Sus scrofa: one gene and its partners. The protein of the gene in region 5 interacts with the protein of the main gene of each other region in a pairwise test. Links are inferred from orthologs where the notes say so. Each region holds a gene or a part of one and is shown on either strand. Other genes may lie near its edges.

Evidence for each region.
Region 1: the proteins of PHF1 (region 5) and THAP1 interact in binary tests that used the Homo sapiens proteins (3 or more experiments, as listed by UniProt). The two-hybrid records come from large-scale screens. The link is inferred for Sus scrofa from reciprocal best matches to the Homo sapiens genes PHF1 and THAP1.
Region 2: the proteins of PHF1 (region 5) and TRIM23 interact in binary tests that used the Homo sapiens proteins (3 or more experiments, as listed by UniProt). The two-hybrid records come from large-scale screens. The link is inferred for Sus scrofa from reciprocal best matches to the Homo sapiens genes PHF1 and TRIM23.
Region 3: the proteins of PHF1 (region 5) and HSD17B14 interact in binary tests that used the Homo sapiens proteins (3 or more experiments, as listed by UniProt). The two-hybrid records come from large-scale screens. The link is inferred for Sus scrofa from reciprocal best matches to the Homo sapiens genes PHF1 and HSD17B14.
Region 4: the proteins of PHF1 (region 5) and PDLIM7 interact in binary tests that used the Homo sapiens proteins (3 or more experiments, as listed by UniProt). The two-hybrid records come from large-scale screens. The link is inferred for Sus scrofa from reciprocal best matches to the Homo sapiens genes PHF1 and PDLIM7.

The regions. Positions count from the first base shown.
Region 1 is NC_010459.5:11,770,522-11,774,629, forward strand, and holds the start of THAP1 (THAP domain-containing protein 1), read right to left. Parts: upstream 2,801-4,108; 5' UTR 1,870-2,800; coding exon 1,799-1,869; intron 1-1,798. UniProt on the Homo sapiens protein: DNA-binding transcription regulator that regulates endothelial cell proliferation and G1/S cell-cycle progression.
Region 2 is NC_010458.4:44,143,492-44,147,419, forward strand, and holds the start of TRIM23 (E3 ubiquitin-protein ligase TRIM23), read right to left. Parts: upstream 2,801-3,928; 5' UTR 2,706-2,800; coding exon 2,625-2,705; intron 1-2,624. Other genes in the region: TRAPPC13 (trafficking protein particle complex subunit 13), read left to right, coding at 3,443-3,488.
Region 3 is NC_010448.4:54,141,344-54,145,580, reverse strand, and holds the start of HSD17B14 (17-beta-hydroxysteroid dehydrogenase 14), read left to right. Parts: upstream 1-1,437; 5' UTR 1,438-1,610; intron 1,611-1,970; 5' UTR 1,971-2,048; coding exon 2,049-2,136; intron 2,137-2,659; coding exon 2,660-2,698; intron 2,699-2,891; coding exon 2,892-2,974; intron 2,975-3,511; coding exon 3,512-3,593; intron 3,594-4,237. UniProt on the Homo sapiens protein: Catalyzes the NAD(+)-dependent oxidation of L-fucose, yielding L-fucono-1,5-lactone, which rapidly converts spontaneously to L-fucone-1,4-lactone. Can also act on D-arabinose and L-galactose, with lower catalytic efficiency. Does not use NADPH.
Region 4 is NC_010444.4:80,451,526-80,455,812, reverse strand, and holds the start of PDLIM7 (PDZ and LIM domain protein 7), read right to left. Parts: upstream 2,801-4,287; 5' UTR 2,695-2,800; intron 1,730-2,694; 5' UTR 1,720-1,729; coding exon 1,624-1,719; exon of another isoform or gene 1-1,623. UniProt on the Homo sapiens protein: May function as a scaffold on which the coordinated assembly of proteins can occur. May play a role as an adapter that, via its PDZ domain, localizes LIM-binding proteins to actin filaments of both skeletal muscle and nonmuscle tissues.
Region 5 is NC_010449.5:29,712,939-29,717,096, forward strand, and holds the start of PHF1 (PHD finger protein 1), read left to right. Parts: upstream 1-1,358; 5' UTR 1,359-1,933; intron 1,934-2,644; 5' UTR 2,645-2,660; coding exon 2,661-2,819; intron 2,820-2,911; coding exon 2,912-2,993; intron 2,994-3,077; coding exon 3,078-3,173; intron 3,174-4,020; coding exon 4,021-4,121; intron 4,122-4,158. Other genes in the region: kinesin-like protein KIFC1, read left to right, coding at 555-599. UniProt on the Homo sapiens protein: Polycomb group (PcG) that specifically binds histone H3 trimethylated at 'Lys-36' (H3K36me3) and recruits the PRC2 complex. Involved in DNA damage response and is recruited at double-strand breaks (DSBs).

The sequences.
Region 1 (4,108 bases), on a different chromosome or scaffold from region 5:
TTATTCCAAAAAAGGGCACATCCAGACTTTCCTGCTTTGGAAGGAACTAGCTTATACTGGTGTTAACACACCAATGAGTATTTGATGAAAATGCTAACTTTGCTCATTTTTGGGGGACAGTTTTTAGTTGTGCCTTTATTACCTTAGTTTGTTAAAAATGGACTTGTTTTGGAGTTCCTGCTGTGGTACAGTGGGTTATCGATCCAGCATTGCACAGCTGCGGTGTAGATCACAGCCACAGCTCGGATTCAATCCCTGGCCCAGAAACTTCCATATTCTCCCAGTACTGGTGCAGTGATTAAATTAAAAAATGTACTTGCTTTAAAATCCTATAACTAGAATTCCCGTTGTGGTGCAGCCGAAACAAATCTGACCAGGAACCATGAAGTGCGGGTTCGATCCCTGGCCTCGCTCAGTGGGTTAAGGATCTGGCGTTGCCATGAGCTGTGGTGTAGGTCACAGATGTGGCTTGAATCTGGCATTGCTGTGGCTGTGGCGTAGGCCAGCAGCTGCAGCTCCAATTCCACCCCTAGCCTGGGAACTTCCATGTGCAGCTGGAACAGTCCTTAAAAAGACGAAGGAAAAAAAAAAAAAATTGGAAGGTGGGTAGCTGAACAGCCTGCGATGGTGTCACCACCTCCAGACCTACTCCCTTGACTTTGAAAGTACTGGAGGCCAATCCATCAGCTTTCAGAAATTCTAATAAATCAAGAGTAATATTAAGATATCACCCCCTCAAATGAATCTGGAAGTGTTGTGTTTCTCCCCTTAGAAGGGAAACAGCAACACTCTCAAGATTTCTCTATGCTCCCTCAGCTCTCTAGTGTTACACCAAATGTACAAAAATGTATCCACATTCCCTGTTAAACATAAAAGGCCCCACCCTCCAAACTGAAGGAATACTTAAGATTTTGCTCTTGAAATTATTTCGCTATAAATCGTATAATTTATCACTGGCTTTTATTTCTTTAGCTATCATCCATTTACGGTTGAGATTATTGCAAAACACTTTTTATGTGATAACATCTGTAAATATAGAATTTGGCTGAATGAAAATGCCATCGTGCAGACATCGGATTATCATTGTCACTCTACTTTTCGGCTTTCTTTGGAGAGACCTGTTTCCTCCTAGGACCTCTAAGGTGAAACCGGCCCTAGAACTGGGAACGTGTCCCCCTCCGAGGGCTTCTTCCAGGTCCGTGACAGCCCGGCTGATTTTATCATGCACAGTGTACCACTACTGCCCGTTAACATAGTGTGCTCAGCCTGGAGCTCTCTCTAAAACTCAGCAGTCCTCAGGAGCAGAGTCCAAAACATCCTCCCTGAAATCCCGCCCACGTCAATGCCTAAATGCTGTGATGCTGGACTCCCCCCACCGCAGGGGATCAAAGTTCGTGACTTCCCGGCTGTTTCCTCTTCAACTTTACGGCTAAAGTGGCATTACTACCTGGCTTCTCTACGACCCTGGTGGTGAGACCCAGCTGCCTCTCGGTCTGGACACCCCACGACTCACGGGAATTCTAGGCTTCGTGGGTGGGCCGCGAACTAGCTACCCTGAGCTCCGCTAGAAACTGGAGCGCGAGGAACAGCCTCCGCGGCGACGCAACCGAGAACGCGCATCCCGGGGCGGAGCGCCGCGGGTGACGCCAGGGGCACGCCCACCGCTCCCCGTCCCAGCGCCAGACGGCGCCCCGCCCCTCCCACTAGGTCTCGCGCGGACACGCGCCTGGCCCCGCCCCCGAGCAGGGCCGCGCGCCCCCAGCCCCTGCGAGGCCCAGGAGGCGCTCAGGATACTTACTTGTGGAAAGAAACGGGCTTGTCCTTGTCATATCGGTTCTTGCAGCCGTAGGCGGAACAGGACTGCACCATCCTTCCGGTCCTGGTTACTTCACTTCTGCCGCCCCAGCAGGCAGTTGAGGCTGCTATCAATGTCGTCGCGCTCGACTTTGACACCCTCTCTTCTTCCGTAGCTTTGGTCAACAGTTACAATGACGAGAGGCTCACTCGGGAGCGACTAATGTGTCCGTTTTGTTGTTTGCATTAGCAGAAGGACCACAGCCATCGCCCGTCTCCCGTCTCCAAGATGGCGGAGACAGCTTCAACCTCACCTCTCGCGAGGCGTTAGTCCTACTGTCTCTTGATTAGCCCTGAGGTCAGAGGTAACGTTTCTTGGGAAGCAGGCCATTGGCTGAGTCCCGCCGCGCGGCGGACTGAGCGTTGCGGAAGTGGGCGGGGCCTCCGAGCTTCCGGAAGGAAGGAGTAATTACCTGGGAGAGGGGGGTGGGAGCGCAGGACCGATTCCGCCCCGGCGGTGCTGCTTGGGGTTACTTATGCTGGGCGGTTCAGATTCGCGGCACTCTACCGTCTATTGGGTCTGCTGGCCTGAAGCAGGACAGGTGTAAAGCTGAGGTCGTTGCATAATTGCCTTGTTTCTCTAAAAGGGCGGTCCCAGATGGCGTGATGTGTAAAACTTGGTGGACTCCCTTCCCGGCCCGCTAACCTCTCTTACCTGCTTCAGGTATTCTGAGGCTTTGCGGAGCCCAGGTGAAGAGTTTAGCCAGGAAAGCCCGCACCTGCACACACCGCGAGCCCAGTCTCTAGGGGCTTCTCTCACTAATGCTGCAGTTATCTTAATGATCTCCAGGTGCCGTGTTGGGACTCGCCAACAGCTGCAGCCCTTTTGGCCGGCTCCTTTCGTCTGTGTCGATAACGGGCTGTTGAGTAATCTCATGGCTCATAATTTCTTTTTTTTTAATTGGTGAGCAAGACTAGCATAGGCCCAGTCTTCGTAGCTTAAGTCCTAGTAAGGGGAAACAGACAATAAAAATGTAAATAAAATCACAGTGTGCTCAGGTGCCTGAATACATTAGAATGCCGAGATGAGGGTAGTAAGGAGAGGGTCACTGCCTACTCTCTGAGAAGGGAATGTTAAATCTGAGAACCAAACAACGGGTCGGGGGGAGAGGGTTTCTGCCACAAGAAGTGCGTGCTAAGGCCTGGAGGCAGTAAAAAGGTCTGTCTTCTAGGAACTGAATGGGGCCTGCAATGGCAGAGCCCAGTGAGTGGGTGGGGGCATACTGCAGCGTGAAGCCGCTGAGCCATTTTAGGCGGGGAGAGACATGATCTAATAAACGTTTTTAAAAGGCCATTCTGGGGAGTTCCCGTCGTGGCGCAGTGGTTAACGAATCCGACTAGGAACCATGAGGTTGCGGGTTCGATCCCTGCCCCCACTCAGTGGGTTAACGATCCGGCGTTGCCGTGAGCTGTGGTGTAGGTTGCAGACGCGGCTCGGATCCCGAGTTGCAGTGGCTCTGGCGTAGGCCGGTGGCTACAGCTCCGATTCGACCCCTAGCCTGGGAACCTCCATATGCGCGGGAGCGGCCCAAGAAATAGCAACAACAACAGCAAAAGACTAAAAAATAAAAAAATAAAAGGTCATTCTGGCTATTATGCCAAGAATTTATCAGGGAGGGGCAACAGTGAGTGAGCAGACCAATTAATAAGAGCAGACCAATTAAGAGGCTGTTGCAAGCAGACAGGAGATTGGCAACTTTGGACCAAGGAGTAGATGCCTATGCTAACAGGTAGAAACACCAGGGCTTGCTGGTAGTGGAAACAAGAATGAGGAAGACACAGAGTTCCCACTGTGGCGCAAGTGGAAACGAATCCGACTAGGAACCATGAGGTTGCAGGTTGGATCCCTGTCCTGCTCAGCAGGTTAAGGATCCGGAGTTGCGGTGACCTGTGGTGTAGTTCGCATACGCGGCTCGGAAATGGCGGTGCTGTACCTGTGGTGCAGGGCGGGCAAGCTCTAGCCCCGATTAGACCCCCTAGCCCGGGAACCTCCGCATGCCTCGAGTGTGGCCATTAGTGGCCCTAAAAAGACGAAAAAAAAAGGAATGAGGAAGGAGTTCCCCCTCCCTCCTGGCTCAGTGGTTAACAAACCCGACTAGTATCCGTGAGGACTCGGGTTTCAATGGGTTGAGACCCGGTTGCTGTGGTCTACCTCACGTGTTTCTCGGATCCCAATTGCTGTGGCCGTGGCTAGCAGCTACAGCTCCGATTAGTTCCCTAGCCTGGGAACCTACATATGCTGCGGGTGAGGCCC
Region 2 (3,928 bases), on a different chromosome or scaffold from region 5:
AAGAGAAAATAATAATAATAACAATAATAATAATAATTTCATATCGGATTTGTGTCTATTTTTCCTAATGATAAAAACCCTGTCAGGAGTTCCCACTGTGGCTCAGTGGAAATGAATATGACTAGGAACCATGAGGTTGTGGGTTCAATCTGTGGCCTCGCTCAATGGGTTAGGGATCCGGCGTTGCCATAAGCAGTGGTGTAGATCGAAGACACAGCTTGGATCTGGAGTTGCTGTGGCTGTGATGTAGGCTGGCAGCTGTAGCTCCAATGAGACCCCTAGCCTGGGAAACTCTGTATGCCACGGGTGTGGCCCTAAAAAAAGAAAGAAAAAAAAAGCAAAACAAAAACCCTGTCATAATCAACTCGTCCATTAAGCAGGAAGCCATTTTCCATGTATACATTAGCATTATATACTTTAACTTTTACCTTCCAATAAATATTGCTTGCTTTCATCTATGAAAATGACAATAAGATTTTTATTTTATACCAACATATTTCTTAAAAATTATACCATGAGGATCTTGCCAAAAACGACTATCCTATTGCACAGCTTAGGCACAGTTTACATACAAAAATGAAAATTAACAAAATGAGCCTGTACTATAACAAACTGTGTTATAACAAACCATAACAAACTGTGTTATAACAAACCACAGTTACAGCAGGCTTTGGTGTATTTCTGAGATTTTAAGGCAAACAGGGTAACAAAACAAAAGGAGCTAACAGCAATAATATCTATTTCAATTAAGAACTTGTTAACTGAAGTTAATTCACAAAATAACATACAGGTATTCTCTACTTAGAAAAAGCCTGGAGTTACCCTCGTGGCTCAGTGGTTAACGAACCCGACTAGGATCCATGAGGATGCCCTTTCGATCCCTGGCCTCACTCAGTGGGCTAAGGAGCCAGCGTTGCTGGGAGTTGTGCTGTAGGTCGGATCTGGCTTTGCTGTGGCTGTGGCACAGGCCAGCAGCCCATAGCTCCGATTCACCCTCTAGCCTGGGAACCTCTATATGCCATTAAGTGCAGTTCTAAAAAGCAAAAAAAAAAAGAAAAAAAGAAAAAGAAAAAGCCTAATTTGGAGTTCCCATCATGGCTCAGTGGTTAATGAACCTGACTAGTATCCATGAGGATGCATGTTCAATTCCTGGCCTCGCTCAGTGGGTTAAGGATCTGGTATTGCCATGAGCTGTGGTGTAGATCACCGATAAGGTTCAGATCCTGCACTGCTGTGGCTGTGGTGTAGGCTGGCGGCTACAGCTCCAATTGGACCCCTAGCCTGGGAACCTCCATGTGCCACGAGTGTGGCCCTAAAAAGACAAAAAAAAAAAAAAAAAAAAGGAACACTAAGCCAGCTATAATGGAAAAAATAAAAATCATTATTAAGTAAATAAAATTTAAAAAAGAAAAAGAATAATTCAATAAATAAAAACTCAACCATACAACAAGCTTAATAAGAGCGCTCTTCTGCATTTCAGATAGTCTATGTACTTCAGAATGTCATTAACATATAAAGGTCAGATGAATCAACAACTACCAATACTGATTAATACAGTTGTTAGCAGAAATGTATCATTTGATGTCATATAAAACCAACATTAGGTGAAAAATCATAGGTGTCTACTATTTAAGATTCTAAGAAAATTTCAGATATCTGACCCAGTGGTTCTGAACAGTTTGTGCATTAAAACCACTCTGGGAATGAAAAAAATACACTGATGTCAACTTCATCAGAACCGGGGGCCTAATTTTTATTTTTTTTTTTTTTAAGTCCTCAGCTATTCTAATATGAAGTCAGGAATAAGAATTTTCAATAGCACAGATTATAAATCTTCCTAGCTTATTCTATAAACCACTGAAATCAGTTCTCCCTTCCGAATCTCTATTTATCTATATATGGAAAAACGAATTCCACATATTTCAATTGATTTCTTAGTAAATACATTTTAGAGCATCTACACATGATACAATTTCAAAGTTCAGTCATAGGGCAATTCACATTCCCCAGAGTTAATGGGACTTTTGGAGACTTCTCAAAAGTGCTGACAAACTGTACTACAAAAAGAAAGGAAGGAGCAGGTCAAGCAAAAATAGAGCTCTCATTACAGAAGTAATACGATAGTGAAAAGTGTACTTTAAAGCCAGTCAGCTGTGGCTCCACTATACAGTGTTATTCGAAACTTTAGTTTCCTCACCCGTAAAACGAGAATCAACATTTACCTCTAATAGATATTAACGATCTTACATACCTAACGTAGTACCTGGCAATAATAATGGCTCAATTTAATTTAAAAAAAAAAAAAAAAAAAAAGGCTAATCAACGCCTGTTGGGCTGAACTACAAGCAGAGGACCTGGAGAAAGACCAGCCCAGGTCACTCTAACATGTCGATAGGCTCCTTTTCACAAATGTCCCCGTTGGCGACTCCAAGCAGAAGACTAGCATGACCAGGAGACCATGCAACCTCAGGCCTCAGGAAGGGAGGGCAAAGCTTGTAAAGCCGAGAGGGGCCCAGAGGGCCGCGCATACCGGCCCCCAACAGCCAGGGCCGCTGTAGTGCCGCCAGATCTCCGGCATGAACTGGAGGCAGATGGCGGAGAACAGAGTACGCAAGGTCCCTCACCTTCACCACCGCTGTCCCCCGGCTGCCCTGACGACCACTGTCTAGTCCCGCACCAGGCCTGTTTACAACCAGGGCAGCCATCCTAGGAGGTGCAGTGCCGCAGAAGCAGCAGTCAAGGCCTTCACTAAGAGGCGGGGTAGAGCCACCTACCCAGAAGCCTAGGCGCTCGCTGCTGGTGCACAGGCGCAGTACGACGCGGAGAAGCCGCGGGGCCGACTTCTTCGCTCCTCCTTCTGGCACTCGTTTGCTGATTGGCTGCACACTCTTCAGTGGATGCGCTTTGTTATTTTGTTATTATTGAGGAGTCTGAACTTGATAGAAGGAACAAAATTAAGGGAAAAAAGAGAGGATAAAACAGAAGAAAATTGTTGGGATGAAACTCCTACCCCAGCAATGACTTCTTCCCTCTAACGAACGGAGACCGGGGACTACATCTCCCTGCATGCCATGCGGCTTTTAAACTACAAATCCCAGCGTGCCACATTTATATCAATTACTCTGCAGTGTAGGTATTTGGGAGGTTGTGTATTGTTACCGTGGAGTGCTTTCTTGAAAGAGCGGCGTGTGGCTGTGGCTGGAAAATAGAGAAGTATTTTATGTATAGGCCTGTAAGAGGCAAGAGATGACTTTGGTAAAAAGGAGCCGTTGGGTCAGTAAAGGACGTGGTTAGAAGAGTATATAAGGCGCTACCGGCAGACAGAAACTGTTGGGAGTGTCTTTAATGCCTTGTCTTCACGGACGTGCGCTTTTCTGTTTTCTTCCGGGCTGTTTGAACCGCTTCAGCCTCCGTAGGCAGTGGCTCCAAAGTGCCGGTCACAATGGAAGTGAATCCCCCCAAGCAGGAGCACCTGCTGGCCTTGAAAGGTAAACTTTGCGAACCCGGCTCCCAGTAATCTGTTTTCTCCCCTTCTCTCACTAGTTCTCGAAGCTTCATGGCACATAGACCTGCCTCTGGAATGTAGGCCTCGTCCTTCTTAAGCACTGTCAGTACTCGTCCTCCTCTCTGTCCTTGGGCGCCCAGCGTGAGGAAGCCGTTTCCTCGCTTTGGGTTTTGAGTTTGAGAATCGCCCTGTAAAATGGAATAGATACGTGGTAAATTACTTACTCTGTTATATGCTGCTGCAGTCACCGGAGAGATTTTTGGCAGTAGTTGACCTCCCTACCCTGGGGAGAGCCCTGTCAAATGAGACCATTAACAGCGGGTATCTAAAGTGGTTTTTTCCTCTGTCTCTTATCTCTTGACGCGGCAATGACAGTGTTACCAGGCTTCAGCTTCATTTGTGAAATTTAGTCTAGTTATTGTG
Region 3 (4,237 bases), on a different chromosome or scaffold from region 5:
CCCTAGCCTGGGAACCTCCATATGCCGCGGGAGCGGCCCAAGAAATAGCAACAACAACAACAACAACAACAAAAAGACAAAAGACAAAAAAGACAAAAAAAAAAAAAAAAAGACATTTGCCATGTTTGGGGGGGGGCAATTTTCTCTCTTCGCTAAGCTCCTTCACTTCATCCTCAAAATGAGGACGTGAGGGCTTCCTGGGGGAGGAATTCTAATGCTCCAATTCCTTTGCAGCCTGCCCTGGGACACTCAGGAGCCAGAAATGGCTCAGAAGCTCTGGGTCCTGGAGCAGGTAAGGAATTGGAGATCCAAACTAGAAGCAAGAAAGTCAACAAAAGGGTGAGGAGTAGCATTAAGTATTAATGTCTCCTGAGTACTCTTGAGTACCAGGGTATGGATGGCAGAACATTTCAGAGACGCTTGAATTCCTGGGGAATGAGAAAGCCCTAGTTCACAGCGGTTCCACCGTTGCTGTCAAACTCTGCTCCTCTGTCGGGAAGTTTTCGGGCAATTGGACTACAGATCCCATAATGCACGCAGACTTAAAAAGAGGGTCTCGCCCTGTTCAAAATCCTTTAGAGCCATATGCTAGGGACTACAACTCCCAGAAGGACACGCTCTGCACCGTGGTCCTCACCTTACAGGCAAATTATTCAAGGCCACCCCTGCATCTTCTTTTTTCTAGTCCGAGGAACACGACCCCTTATTTACCAACATCTGAGGGTCACCGGGAGCGAGTTCTCAGCCTCTCTCAAGCCTTGGCTGCTGAGGCGTCACAGTGGCACCGAATGATGACAGGTGAGAATGGGCTGGGGACCTTGGGCTCCTGGGTGTTAGGGAAGAGGGAGTCTGGAGGCCCGGAATCCTAGGTCCTGGTGGGGAGGGGGGTCCGACGACCGCCAGAAACCCTCTGCCTTGGTAAAGAAAGAGCTGGACAGGGCTTGGGGGTTCCAGACCCCAGTAGGAGGGGACTGGATCCCAGGACTGCCGTGTCTGGGGAGGAGAGGACGGGGAGCCTGGACTCCTAGGTTTGAGAGGAAAGTCCTGGGTGTCGGGACTTCTGGGTCCCAAAGTTTGCCATTCTCGTTCTCCGTCCGTCCTCTCCAGGTGGCAGTTTGGACTCTCGAGGAGACCCTCTTCCCCCTGCGTCGCCACCTCCGTCAGATCCCACGCCCTGCGTGTCCTCGCCCCCAAGATCTCCTCCAGTGGCCAGTTCCCACTCCACGGGGTTCTCCCACCGAGGGACTGGGCGCGACGCAGGCCCGGCCTCTTGGGAGCCGACCTGGGATTCCGGGACCGCCCCTCCCGCGCTAACCCCAGACGAGGAGGCGTGGCCTCTGAGAGTCACGCTGCTACAGTCCAGCTTCTGACCCGCCCAAGCAGGGCAGCCAATCAGAGCTGGAGGGCGTGTCCCGGAGGTACTTCCGGGACAGATGGAGCCTCTTCCCTCACCTGAGGGCGTGATCTGGTCCCCTCCCGGTGGCCGAGGAGTGGCTACTTTGGCCAAAGTTTGATTTTCCCAATACTTGTCCAAATTTGGATTAAAACATTGAACTCTTAGTCGATAACTTTCTGTCTGTTTGGAGTTGTGACACCGGTGTCTCGAAGAGGTAGAGCTGGAGTGGTGAACTCCTGGGTCCCGCGGGAGGAGGGGACAGCGGACTCAGCTTTGTGTGTCAGAGGAACGGGGGGAGCTCGAGGTCTGGATTACTGAGTCTGAGGGAGGAGGGGGCCGGCGACCTGGATTCCTGGGTCTGAAGGAAGAGAGGACCCGGGACCTGGACTTTGGAGTCCAAGGTCCGGCAGAGGGGGCCGGACTCCAGGAATCCCGAGTTTGAGGGTTGGGGGACCGGCCTCCTGGGTCTGAGGGAGGAGGGGGCTGGGGCCAAGTTCCAGGCTTCTGGCTTTCCTGGCAACGCCCCCGGGGCCGGGCTTCAGGATCCAGCCCCTATTTATGGTTCGACCCCAAGACCTCACCGGACTTCAGAGGGGGATAGAAGCCTCGAGTGAGTGTGAGTGAGTGGCCGAAGGAGACCTTCTGACGCGGGATGGCAACGGGAACGCGCTATGCCGGGAAGGTGGTAATCGTGACGGGGGGCGGGCGCGGCATCGGAGCTGGGATCGTCCGAGCCTTCGGTGAGTGGGGTCTGGTCGGCTCTGAACAGTGGAGTCTGGGAGCGGAGGGACCCGGGGGCTAATGGGTGTGGGACGAAGTATCTTCTGTACTGGAATCTAGATTCTTGTCTCGTAAAATCCAATTTGCAAAGTTAACGAAGGGAAGGCAGAGGTGGCCTGGGGCCTGAGATTGCGGCGGATTTTCAAATGCCATTGACTCCCTTTCTCTGGGTCTCAGCTATTGCTACAGAATGGGGGGCCGGGGGTGGTGGTTGAAGGAATATGTCTTTTGGAGGTTTAGGGTTTACTCTAGAACCCAGGGATGGAGACTCAGGAGCCCCAGAAGTCACCTGGAATAGCCAAGGAGAAGGCTAGGCTTCTGCCTTTTGCCCTACGGGATCATCATGAGACTTTGGGGTCACGAGGGGAACAGAGCTGGGGCGGTGGTGGGGGGGGAACGGCCCTGTTCCGGGTGGCCACAGAGGGCAGCAGAGATCTTCACCAAGGTCTCTGCAGGGCTAACCTATTCCCTGTCTATTCGCAGTGGAAAGTGGCGCCCAGGTGGTGATCTGTGACAAAGACGGTGAGTGAGGGTCCCCCAGTCCTCAGCCCACTGCCTCCTCCCTTAGATTCAAGAAGAATACAGGCCCCAGCACCCTCCTCCCTCAGACCCAGGATCCAGCCCCAGCCCTCCTCCCTCAGACCCAGGATCCTGGGCCCCCAGCCCCTCCTCTCTGAGACCCAGGCTCCAGCCCCCAGCCCTTCTCTTCCTGCAGAGTCCACTGGTCGGACCCTGGAGCAGGAGCTGCCTGGGTCTGTCTTTGTCCTCTGTGACGTGACTCAAGAGGATGATGTGAAGGTGAGCGCGTAGTTTCTGTCCCTCCCCGTCCCCCTCAATCTCCAATCGTTCTCTCTCTCCCTTCACCCCGGGCTTTGCACATGCTATTCCCTCTACCCTTCCCCATCTCCTGGCTAAATGACACCTGCCCCCAGAGTCTCAGCTCAGTTTCATCGCAAAGCTTTCCTAACTCGGCTGGCCACGTCCTGTGTCTGCCGAGAAGATTCTCCTCTATCTCCCAGGCCTTCAAGGCCCCTGGTCCCTCCTGTCACATGATCTGGATCCAGTAAGAGTTCTCCTTCTCCCAGGGTTTCTCCCCTTCCCTTCATCTGCTCCCCCATCCCCCACCCTCCTGGGTCTCTGGAGTAGTGAGCTCAGGGTGTGTGTCACCAGCCCTCTGGTCTCTGGCACCCTGGCGTCCAGTCTCCTCATCTCCTGCCATGCCTGGCGATTTGGGGTCGGCCCCCACAATGTCCTGTCCCCTCCGCGGTGACTCCGCTTCTGCCACGTCTCACTTGGGGGAGCCCAGCAGGGGCGCCAATGCTGTTCACTCACAAGACAGCTTTCTCCTCAGACCCTCTTTCTGAGACCATCCGCCGCTTCGGCCGCCTGGACTGTGTGGTCAACAACGCCGGCTCCCGTGAGTTGTCAACCCGCTTCCCGGGCTCTGTCCCATTGCTGCTCTGTGTCCCCAGGCCTGTGCCGCCACCTCTTTATGCCTCAGTTTCTACATTTCTAAAATGACAATGACCACCACTGTCCTTGCCATTACAGGGTGTTGAGAGTATTAAATAGTGTAACTGGGCGGAGTTCCCGTCATGGTGCAGAGGAAATGAACCTGACTAGGAACCATGAGGTTGCGGGTTCAGTCCCTGGCCTTGCTCAGTGGGTTAAGGATCTGGCTGTGAGCTGTGGTGCAGATACGGCTCGGATCCCGTATTGCTGTGGCTGTGATGTAGGCCAGAGGCTGTAGCTCCGATTCGACCCCTAGCCTGGGAACCTCCATATGCCACGAGTGCGGCCCTAAAAAAAAAAAAAATTGTGTCACTGCTCAGCCCCCTAATCACCCTAACTGTCTTGGGCAGACAGCGTCCATCTTGCAGCCTCCGTTTTGGTTTGGTTTGGTTTGGTTTTGGCCATGGCATGCAGAAGTTCCAGGGTCAGGGATTGAATCTGCGCCACAGCAGCAATAATGCCAGGTCCTTAGTCTGCTGAGCCACCAGGGAACTCCAACCTCAGTTTCTTTAAAGTGAGGCGGATGGCTCTTTTTTTCTGTGACTGTGA
Region 4 (4,287 bases), on a different chromosome or scaffold from region 5:
CCCTCCCTCCCCACTCCACGCTGGGGTCAGGGTAGAGGGAGAGAGGGCGGGCCCAGCTCAGAAAAGACCACCCTACACACCCGCCCACCCACCAGGGCCTAGGTCCAACTCCAGGGCTGGGCTCAGCTGGTGGCCCCACCCACATGCTAGGCCTGCTGACAAGGGAGCCTGGGCTCAGGGTGCCCCCAGCAGGCCACATCTGAAAGTCCATCCCCTAGGCTACTTTGTTGCCCATCCTCACCAAGGAAGAAACTGAGGCTCAGAGGCCAAGCCAAGGCCTACAGCTACCCAGTCACACTGGCTAGCACTTTCCCAGGGAAGGGGTATACAGGGGGAGGTTTCCAGGGCTGGAGAGACTCGAGAATTGTGTACAGGGTGGGTATATGTGGTAGGGAGATCACTGCCCTTAGCTACCCTTCCGGCAGCGCAGCTCCCAGGGTAGGATCCCTGAGAACAGTGACAGCCTAGCTGTTCTGGCCACCAAGCCCAATTCCGACAGACTCTGCTTTGGGGCCCCCTTGAGCTCAGCTGCGGCTGGACAACCCTCCGGCCCCCTCTAGGCTGTGCTTGCCCTGGGCTTCCTGCCAATAGCTGCCTGCCCACCAGGAGCCTGGGTGGGTCTCTCTGGATAAGCGGATATGGGAGCAGGAAGTCCCCACCTCCTCCTGAACCCACCCTCCACCCCCCACCACAGTGAGAGATACCAGCCCAAGGGCTGGACTCTCTCTCAGGGCAGGCAGCTTGTTTTACATGTCCCACGGCCGATCCCATGGCTAGAGCCACAGCCTGGGGGCGATGAGCTGAGGGGCCCACTGATGTGGTCAGGGGTCCAGGCCCAGACCAGCCTTTTTCAGCCCTGCAGACTCCAGCCACCAGTTGGCCATCCCTGCGTGGGGCTGCATTCTTGGGCTTATAAGGCAATCCCCCTGCCACAGGGAGGAGCCGGCCCCTAGCTCCACCCCCACCAGGACAGGATCTCAGAAGCTGAAGTCAGAGTCCTAGAGACCCATCCCAACCCCTGCTTGGGGTCAAAGCCCACTCCATCCTGAATGGGACCAGTGGATGGGATGGAAGGTCCTCACACAGGCCGGGGAGAGGCACCCCTCACACACACAGACTGCTGGCCATCCCTGTGGCTGAATTCCAATCCCTGTTTTGCCACGGAGTTGCTGAAGGAGCCCTTTCACCTCTCCGAGTCCTGAGTTAGCTCATCTGGAAAAACAGGATGACAGTTGCTATTCCCTGGGTGGCAGTGAGAATGAAGTGAGATCCTGCAGTCAGAGAGCCCTGCCTGGGGCCTAGCTCCAAGCATTGCTCTCTCAAGGAGCTTAGACACTTCCTGGAGACCTCAGAATGGGCATCCCCCTGGGCCTTGGAGGTGGCCACAGGAGCTTCGTGGAACAGCATCAGGTACAGTGCAGTGCTAGGGAAGTGTGGGGGCTCCTCTCCTAGTATCTCCCTAGTTAGGTTGGTAGTCTTCGTGGCAGTGCCCACATATCTGGACCTGGGCACCTCCTGGCCTACCGGCCGTGGCTCACTCCTGTTCAGGCTCTTTCTGTCACCCACTGGAGATCTGAGCACCCCAAGACCCCTGGGGGAGCCCCTCCCTCAATCTAGGCTCACCCGGGAGATGGAGAGGGGCACATTGAAGTCCTTGCCCCCCTGCAGCCGGAAGCCCCAAGGTGCTGGCCCCTCCAGCACCACCTTGAAGGAATCCATGGTGCCGCTCCTGAGAGGAGAGAAAAGGTGAGCAGCTGGCATGGTGGGTACACAGGCAGGCCTAGCTCTGGACATCAGGCTTGGACTAGTGCCAGGAAGGCACGAGCAGACGCTGAGCACACCCAGGGCAAGGGTAGGAGGGTAACTTGTTAAGTTTGGCTGGGCTGCTAGCTGGCAGACTTCACTTTGGAAAGGCAGCGGCAACCCCCCTTCCCCAAGGGACAGGGTGGGTGAGGGGAGCCCGAATCCAGCCTTGAGATTCTTTTCATCCAGGAGTGGATCGCAGGGCTAATTTGGCTCTGGCTTCCCCCCAAGCCATCCTTGAGCCTGGAACTAGACGGCAAGGCCAGTCCGGGGCCGGCGTTCCTCCTTTCCCCCGCCCCCAGGTCCCGGCAGGCAGGCCACGGCTGGAGCCTGCTCGGACTATATAAGGCGTGTAAGCTGACACTGTGCGGAGAGCCAACGGAGGGAACACACGGGGGCTCGGGACGCGAGGGGGAGGGGAAGGGGGGGAGGCGGCTGGAGCGGGTACTAGCCATTCCCGGACTAGTCGAAGCTGCCGTGACCCAGGGCGAGACCCCTGAGCGCTGGGGGAACTGGGCGGGTGCGCGGCCCCTGCGTAGGTCGGTGGGGACTGGGACTTCAAAGCGTGGCCAGGAAGGGAATTCATCCTAGAGTTCAGTGGGGGTGATGCCTCCCCCACAGGCCTACCCTCCTGACGTGACTCGGTTTCCCCCTGGTTCCCCGCCCCGGCCCCATGCATTGGCCGAGTCCCGGGGGCAGGAAGCGGCGCAGGCGCCAATCGGCCCCGCCGCAGCCGGCTTCGCCTCAGGAAGGCGGGGGCGGGGGTAGCGGCTCCCGCACGCCGGAGGAAGCGCAGCTTTGGCCACGACCCCTAGTGCCCGCTGTGGCCCCTAACAGGCCTCTGCCCCCCCGCCTGGCCCAGCCCGAAACGCCCCGCACAGTCGCCTGTACCTGCTCGGCCCCTCCGGGGCGCTGCTCAGCAGCGGGCTCCAGAGAGCCGCGCTGGGATCCGCCGCCCGCGTTCTGGCCCCGCCCCCGCCGCAGACATCAGTTATGAGCCCGCTGGAGGGGGCGTGGCCTGTGGCCACGCCTCCGTCAAAAGTTGAGCCCATGAGCAGTCTCCCAGGCAGTAGGAAGCCCCGCCGAATCCTTCCGTACCGCCCAATCACGAAGTCCGGTCTCTCTTTGCGCTGTAAGGCAAGGCTCTCCCTGGTCCCCTTAATGGGGCGGGGCCTGGGTAGGGTGTGGGGGGGTCTGGGCTGCTGGACAGCCCAACCCGCGGCTCGCCCAGCCCCTTGCGCCTCCCTCTGGCCGAGTGAAAAGCAAGTCACCAAGCAAACCAGGCAGATCTGGACCTGAGTCATCTCTAAACCCTAGTTTCCTACTGGGAAAGTGGGACAGTAATACTCGCCTCACAGGCCACCGTGAAGATAGGCATAGTTTGGCGTAAGGCACAGCCATTGATAGCTCAAGAATATCTAAATCGGGAGTTCCCGTCGTGGCGCAGTGGTTAACAAATTTGATCCCTGGCCTTGCTCAGCGGGTTAAGTATCCGGCGTTGCCGTGAGCTGTGGTGCAGGTCGCAGACGCGGCTTGGATCCCACGTTGCTGTGACTCTGACCAGTGGCTATGGCTCCGATTAGACCCCTAGCCCGGGAATCTCCATAATGCCGCTCCTGCGGCGAGCGGCTCTAGAAAAGGCAAAAAGACACACAAAGACACACACACAAAAGGAATATCTAAATCGGACAGACTTGGTCTGGAAGAGGGAGGGGGTGAACCTTGGAGGTGGGGTTAGTTGAGGTCGACACAGGGGGAGCTTACAGTTAAGTTTGCAGAACACTCCACCAAAGGCAGCAGACAGAGGTATAAAGGCCTTTGGCTCCGCCCCGACCCTATGCCCTGCCCTCACTCCTACCCCCTGACCCTCCGAAGGTTTAGGGCTGACCCCCAAACTGTCGAGATAGTCCTGGTACCCCACTCCAGAGTGGGCAGCGCCTCCAGTGGGGGTTTCACAGACCCCACAGCCCCAATGCTAGCGCAGTGGGAGGAAATTGACCAGGGATCAGGATGGGCATCCACCCCTCACCTCCTTCTAGGGCATGGCTGTGGCTACTCTCCTACCTCCACCATCATCATTACATTTCCCCCTATTCTGCATCATTCCCCTCATAATATAAACTGTAAGAATTTTCACTTTTTTTTTTTTTTTTTTTTTGGCCTTTTCTCATTATAGGGCTGCACCCAGGGGCATATGGAAGTTCCCAGGCTATAGCCGCCGGCCTATGCCACAGCCACAGCAAGGCCACAACAGGAATTCCAGTTACTTCCTAATTTAAACTTTCATTTTCCCCACCTCCCTAACTCCTTCCTTACTTCAAGGAAAAAAAATAAAAACAGTGTTCATCTGGTTAGGCCAGTAAAAATCATGAAGTTTTCCTTCCTTTCTCATCTGTGTCATACCTCAGATTCTGTAGATTCCACCTTCTGACTCTATTCCACACCTGGCTGCCGTGTTTGTCCTTGCCACTTGTCTCGTGCTTG
Region 5 (4,158 bases):
AAAAAGAGGGTCATTTGTCCTCTGGAAAATGTCCTATTCTGGATTTTGGCTGGTTGCCTCATTTTCTCCATAATTATTTTTTCTGGTAGTTAAATTTAGAGGCTTAATTTGAATCAGGTTCAAATTTCTTGGCAAGAAAACTTAGATGGTGTTTTACACTTTCTATTGCATCACATCAGAAGACACCTAATAACTAATTGTTCCACTTTTAATGATATAAAAATTGGTCACTGGATTTGGGTATTGTGAGCTTGATTTATCCATTTTAAAACTCCCTATCTACTTTTTCCCCTAATGATTTTTTTTTAATGGGCACACCCACTACGTATAGAAGTTTCCCAGCCAGGGACTGAATCTGAGCTGTAGCTGCAGGTCCTTTAACCCACTGCTCTGGGCTGAGAAACCTGCACCTCTGCAGTGACTAGAGATGCCACACTCTGATTCTTAACCCACTGGCTGCAGTGGGAACTCCTCCCTGGGAGGTGATTTGGGGAAAACTGTTTGTAGTTACTGTGAACTTTTTTTTTTCTGTTTGTCTAAACCCCTGCCCACAGGTGAACCAATGTGTCATTGGTACTGCCCAAGCCAACAAGAAATGAAGACGGATCTAGAGTGTGTGTGTGTGTGTGTGTGTGTGTGTGTGTGTGTGACACACACGGGGAAGGGAGGTGGGTGCGGGTGCTTTCTTGGTGGGGGGTGCTGTGATATCTGGGCCTATCAAATAAAGAAGAGGTTTTTTCGCTGTTTTTAAATAAAGGTTTTATTAGCGGTTGCCCAATCAGGGAGATACTTTTCATATCTGTAAAGATGGGAACTGTGGCTCTTCTGTTCTACCCAACAGGCCATGCCCATGCCTTCAGCTCCCATACCCTGTCTCGTGGTCCCCACCTGGGAGGTGTGCCCACCAGGTGGCCAGCCTCCCCTGTGCCACGGCCCCCGCCTGGCAAGAGCACCCCTGGTACTTGTGGGAGGTGGGCGGGGCCGGCGCGCCCTCCCACAAACTGCTGGCTCTCTCCCGCTCTTTCCCTGCCTTCGCGTTCGAACCGCCAGGCCTGCCCCGTCCGCTGCCCATTGGCTGGCTGCTGGTCCGAGCACCCGCCTTGGGAGCGCGGGGCGGGACGCAAGCCCGGACTCTCTCGCGCCAACTGCCTGGGCCACCGCCCGGTGAGGGGGGGGCTCGGTCCTCCCAGGTGCCGCGCGCGGGAGGAGCCACGCGTGCGCAGAAGCGCGACTGCGGGCGGGGCGGGGGGGGCGGGACACAACCCAGCCACGGGGAGGGCGGGGCCGGGGCGGAGGCGGGAGGAGGGCGTGGCGGGGCAATGGGAAGGGTGAATGGAGGGCGGGGTCGTGAACTGAGCCGGGGGGCGGGACTTGGAGTGACCATGAAGGCTGGAGGGGCAGTTAACGGATGTGGCACAGTGCGGGGGCCAGGCCGGAGGCCGGCGGTGGGGAAAGGGGATTCCCTCCTGCCCCGAGGGCAGGTCTCCCTTTGGAGGAAGGGGCTACGGGGATTCCCTCTCACGGCCGGTCCGACTGTCCGCCTGCCCCAGCCGCGGAGAGGCCGCCGCTTGCTTGGCGCCCTCCAGGCCTGCTGGAGGTGAGGGAGGTGGGGTGAGGTGGTGCCCGCCCCCCCACTCCGGCTCCTCCTTCCCCCCAGTCCTTCCCTCCCACCACCCTCCCCCCGAGCCGGTTTGTCCCTCCCCTCCCCTCCTCTCCCCTCCTTCCCCCCGCCGCCTCCTCCTGCCGCTGCCGCTGCTTTGGCTGCTGCGTCATACGCCCCAGAGCTGCCGGGACGGAGGGGCTGGGCCTGGGGACCCCCGGGTCGCTGCCTGCACGCCCCCCGACGCCCAGACGTGCCCTCCCGGCGCGAGGGGTTCGCCTGGGTATCCCACGTCTGCCTCTGCCCGGCTCCCGGCGGCCCCAGCTGTCACTGGTAAGGAGGTGGCGGGAGGCGCCCGTGGGGGGGGGGCAGGGAGCCGGGGGTCGGCGCGCAGGGCGCGGGCGGGAGAGCCGCGCCGCCCTTGCATCGGGTCGGGCTGGGCCGTCTCAAGTCCCCTCTCTCGGACTCGCGGTCCTGGGGAGTAGAGACCGGGACTGGGACACGCCCCCCTCCCGGGGCACTCAAGGAAGTTATCTAACCCAGGGGCCGGGAGCCCCGAATTTGAGGGTGACCTGACATAACCTGGTACCAGGATGATTGTTCTGAATGAGACACGCGGGTCGGGGAGGCAGCCGTTCTCACTCTGGAAAACATCTCCAGAAAAGCTCCCAAAACACATCTCTGGAAAACAGCACCCCAATTATGACACCCCTAAAGAGCAGTAGAAGGTGACAGTAAAAACAGAGTGGTAACCTTTGCTTCTGCAACCATCACTTTTGCTAAAATCTCAAGGCCAGGATATAACATCCCAAGGGAGCCGGAAACTAGAGAACTAGGTTGGGGAGGGGGTGCATGGTAGGGAGAAGAGAGCCAGGGGTGGCTCCGGTGAGGCTGAGGAAGGGCCTGGAGGTTCCCTTGCACCCTCTCAGGGATATGGAGACTGGGACACACCTGCTTGAGTCCTTGACAGAGAAATACACAAGGAAAATGGGGACCAGTTCCTCAGCATTCAAAACTTTCTCCTCCCATCCCGCTTCTGGCTAGGCCCCCCCAGGATGCAATGGCACAGCCCCCCCGGCTGAGCCGCTCTGCTGCCCCCCCACTTTGGGACCCAGCTTCCTCTGCTTCCACCTCAGGCCCCAGGCCTCGACTTTGGGAGGGTCAAGATGTGCTGGCCAGGTGGACAGATGGGCTGCTATACTTGGGGACCATCAAAAAGGTATGACCTTTGACTTCTGACCTGTCACCTTTTCCCCATTCCTCCTATCTAGTTCTGATTCCCATTTGATCTTCTGGGCTCACCCATTGCAGGTGGACAGTGCTCGGGAGGTGTGTCTGGTCCAGTTTGAGGATGATTCCCAGTTTCTGGTTCTATGGAAAGACATTAGCCCTGGTGAGAGGCCTGCATCCCATGGATAACAGATACCTGGCATGGGGGTTGGACAGGCCCCCTGAACGTTGTGTTCCTCCCCAACAGCTGCCCTCCCTGGGGAGGAACTCCTCTGCTGTGTATGTCGCTCTGAGACTGTGGTCCCTGGAAATCGGCTGGTCAGCTGTGAAAAGTGTCGCCATGGTGAGAGGGCAGGACACCTGAAGGACCCAGCTTGCCCTGGGTCTTCCAGGCTGCCTCTCCCCCCTTCCCTCCAGCAGTGGTTCTTATGTCACCTGCCCTGGCCGGTCTCCTCAACCCTGTAACCTCACTCCCTCCCTGTACAGGGAGAGGCACCCATGGGTGGAGATGTGTGAGCTTTGCAGGCAGAGGGTACTTCAGGTACACCTTTTTCTAAGCACATGACCTTGGGCCAGTTCCTAAACCTCTAAGAGCCACAGTTCCCTCCCCTGCTTTTTTTTTTTGGTCACTTTGGAGAAAGAATTCAGCAGAGATTGAGGACAAGTGAGGCTATTAAGTGTTTATTTAGAGAGCGAAGATAGGTGCAGAGAAAATATAGGTACAGGCAGGCTGGGCAGGGGAGGGGGTGGGAAGGGAGAGAGAAAAAGAGAAAGAGCAAGAGAGGAAGAGCCTTCCCTGCTTATAAAGTAAAGGTCATACACCCACCCTGCAGGACCATGATCAAGAAGGAAATGAGAATTTCCAGCTGTGGCTCAGTGGGTTAAGGACCCAGTGCTGTTTCTGTGAGGATGCAGGTTCAATCCCTGGCCTCAGTGGGTTAAGGATCCCATGTTGCCATGAACTGCAGCATAGGTCACAGATGTGGCTTGGATCTGGTGGCGGTGGTTGTGGTGTAGGCCGGCAGCTGCAGCTTTGATTTGACCTCTAGCCTGGGAACTTCCATGTGCTGCAAGTGCAGCTGTTAACAGAGAAAAGAAGGAAATCAGATAAGACTCTTCCCATCCCAATACCTGGCACACACAGGTCTGCAGGCCGTAAGTAGCCTACTCTCAACATTGTCCTTATTCAGCTTATCACCAGGATTGCCACGTGCCAAGGGCCCCAGCCCCCGGAGAGGGAGAGGGCACACCCTGGGTCTGCCGCCAGTGCGTCTTTGCCATCGCCACCAAGGTAAAGGCATCTTCCCCAGGAGCCCTGGACTGCAACC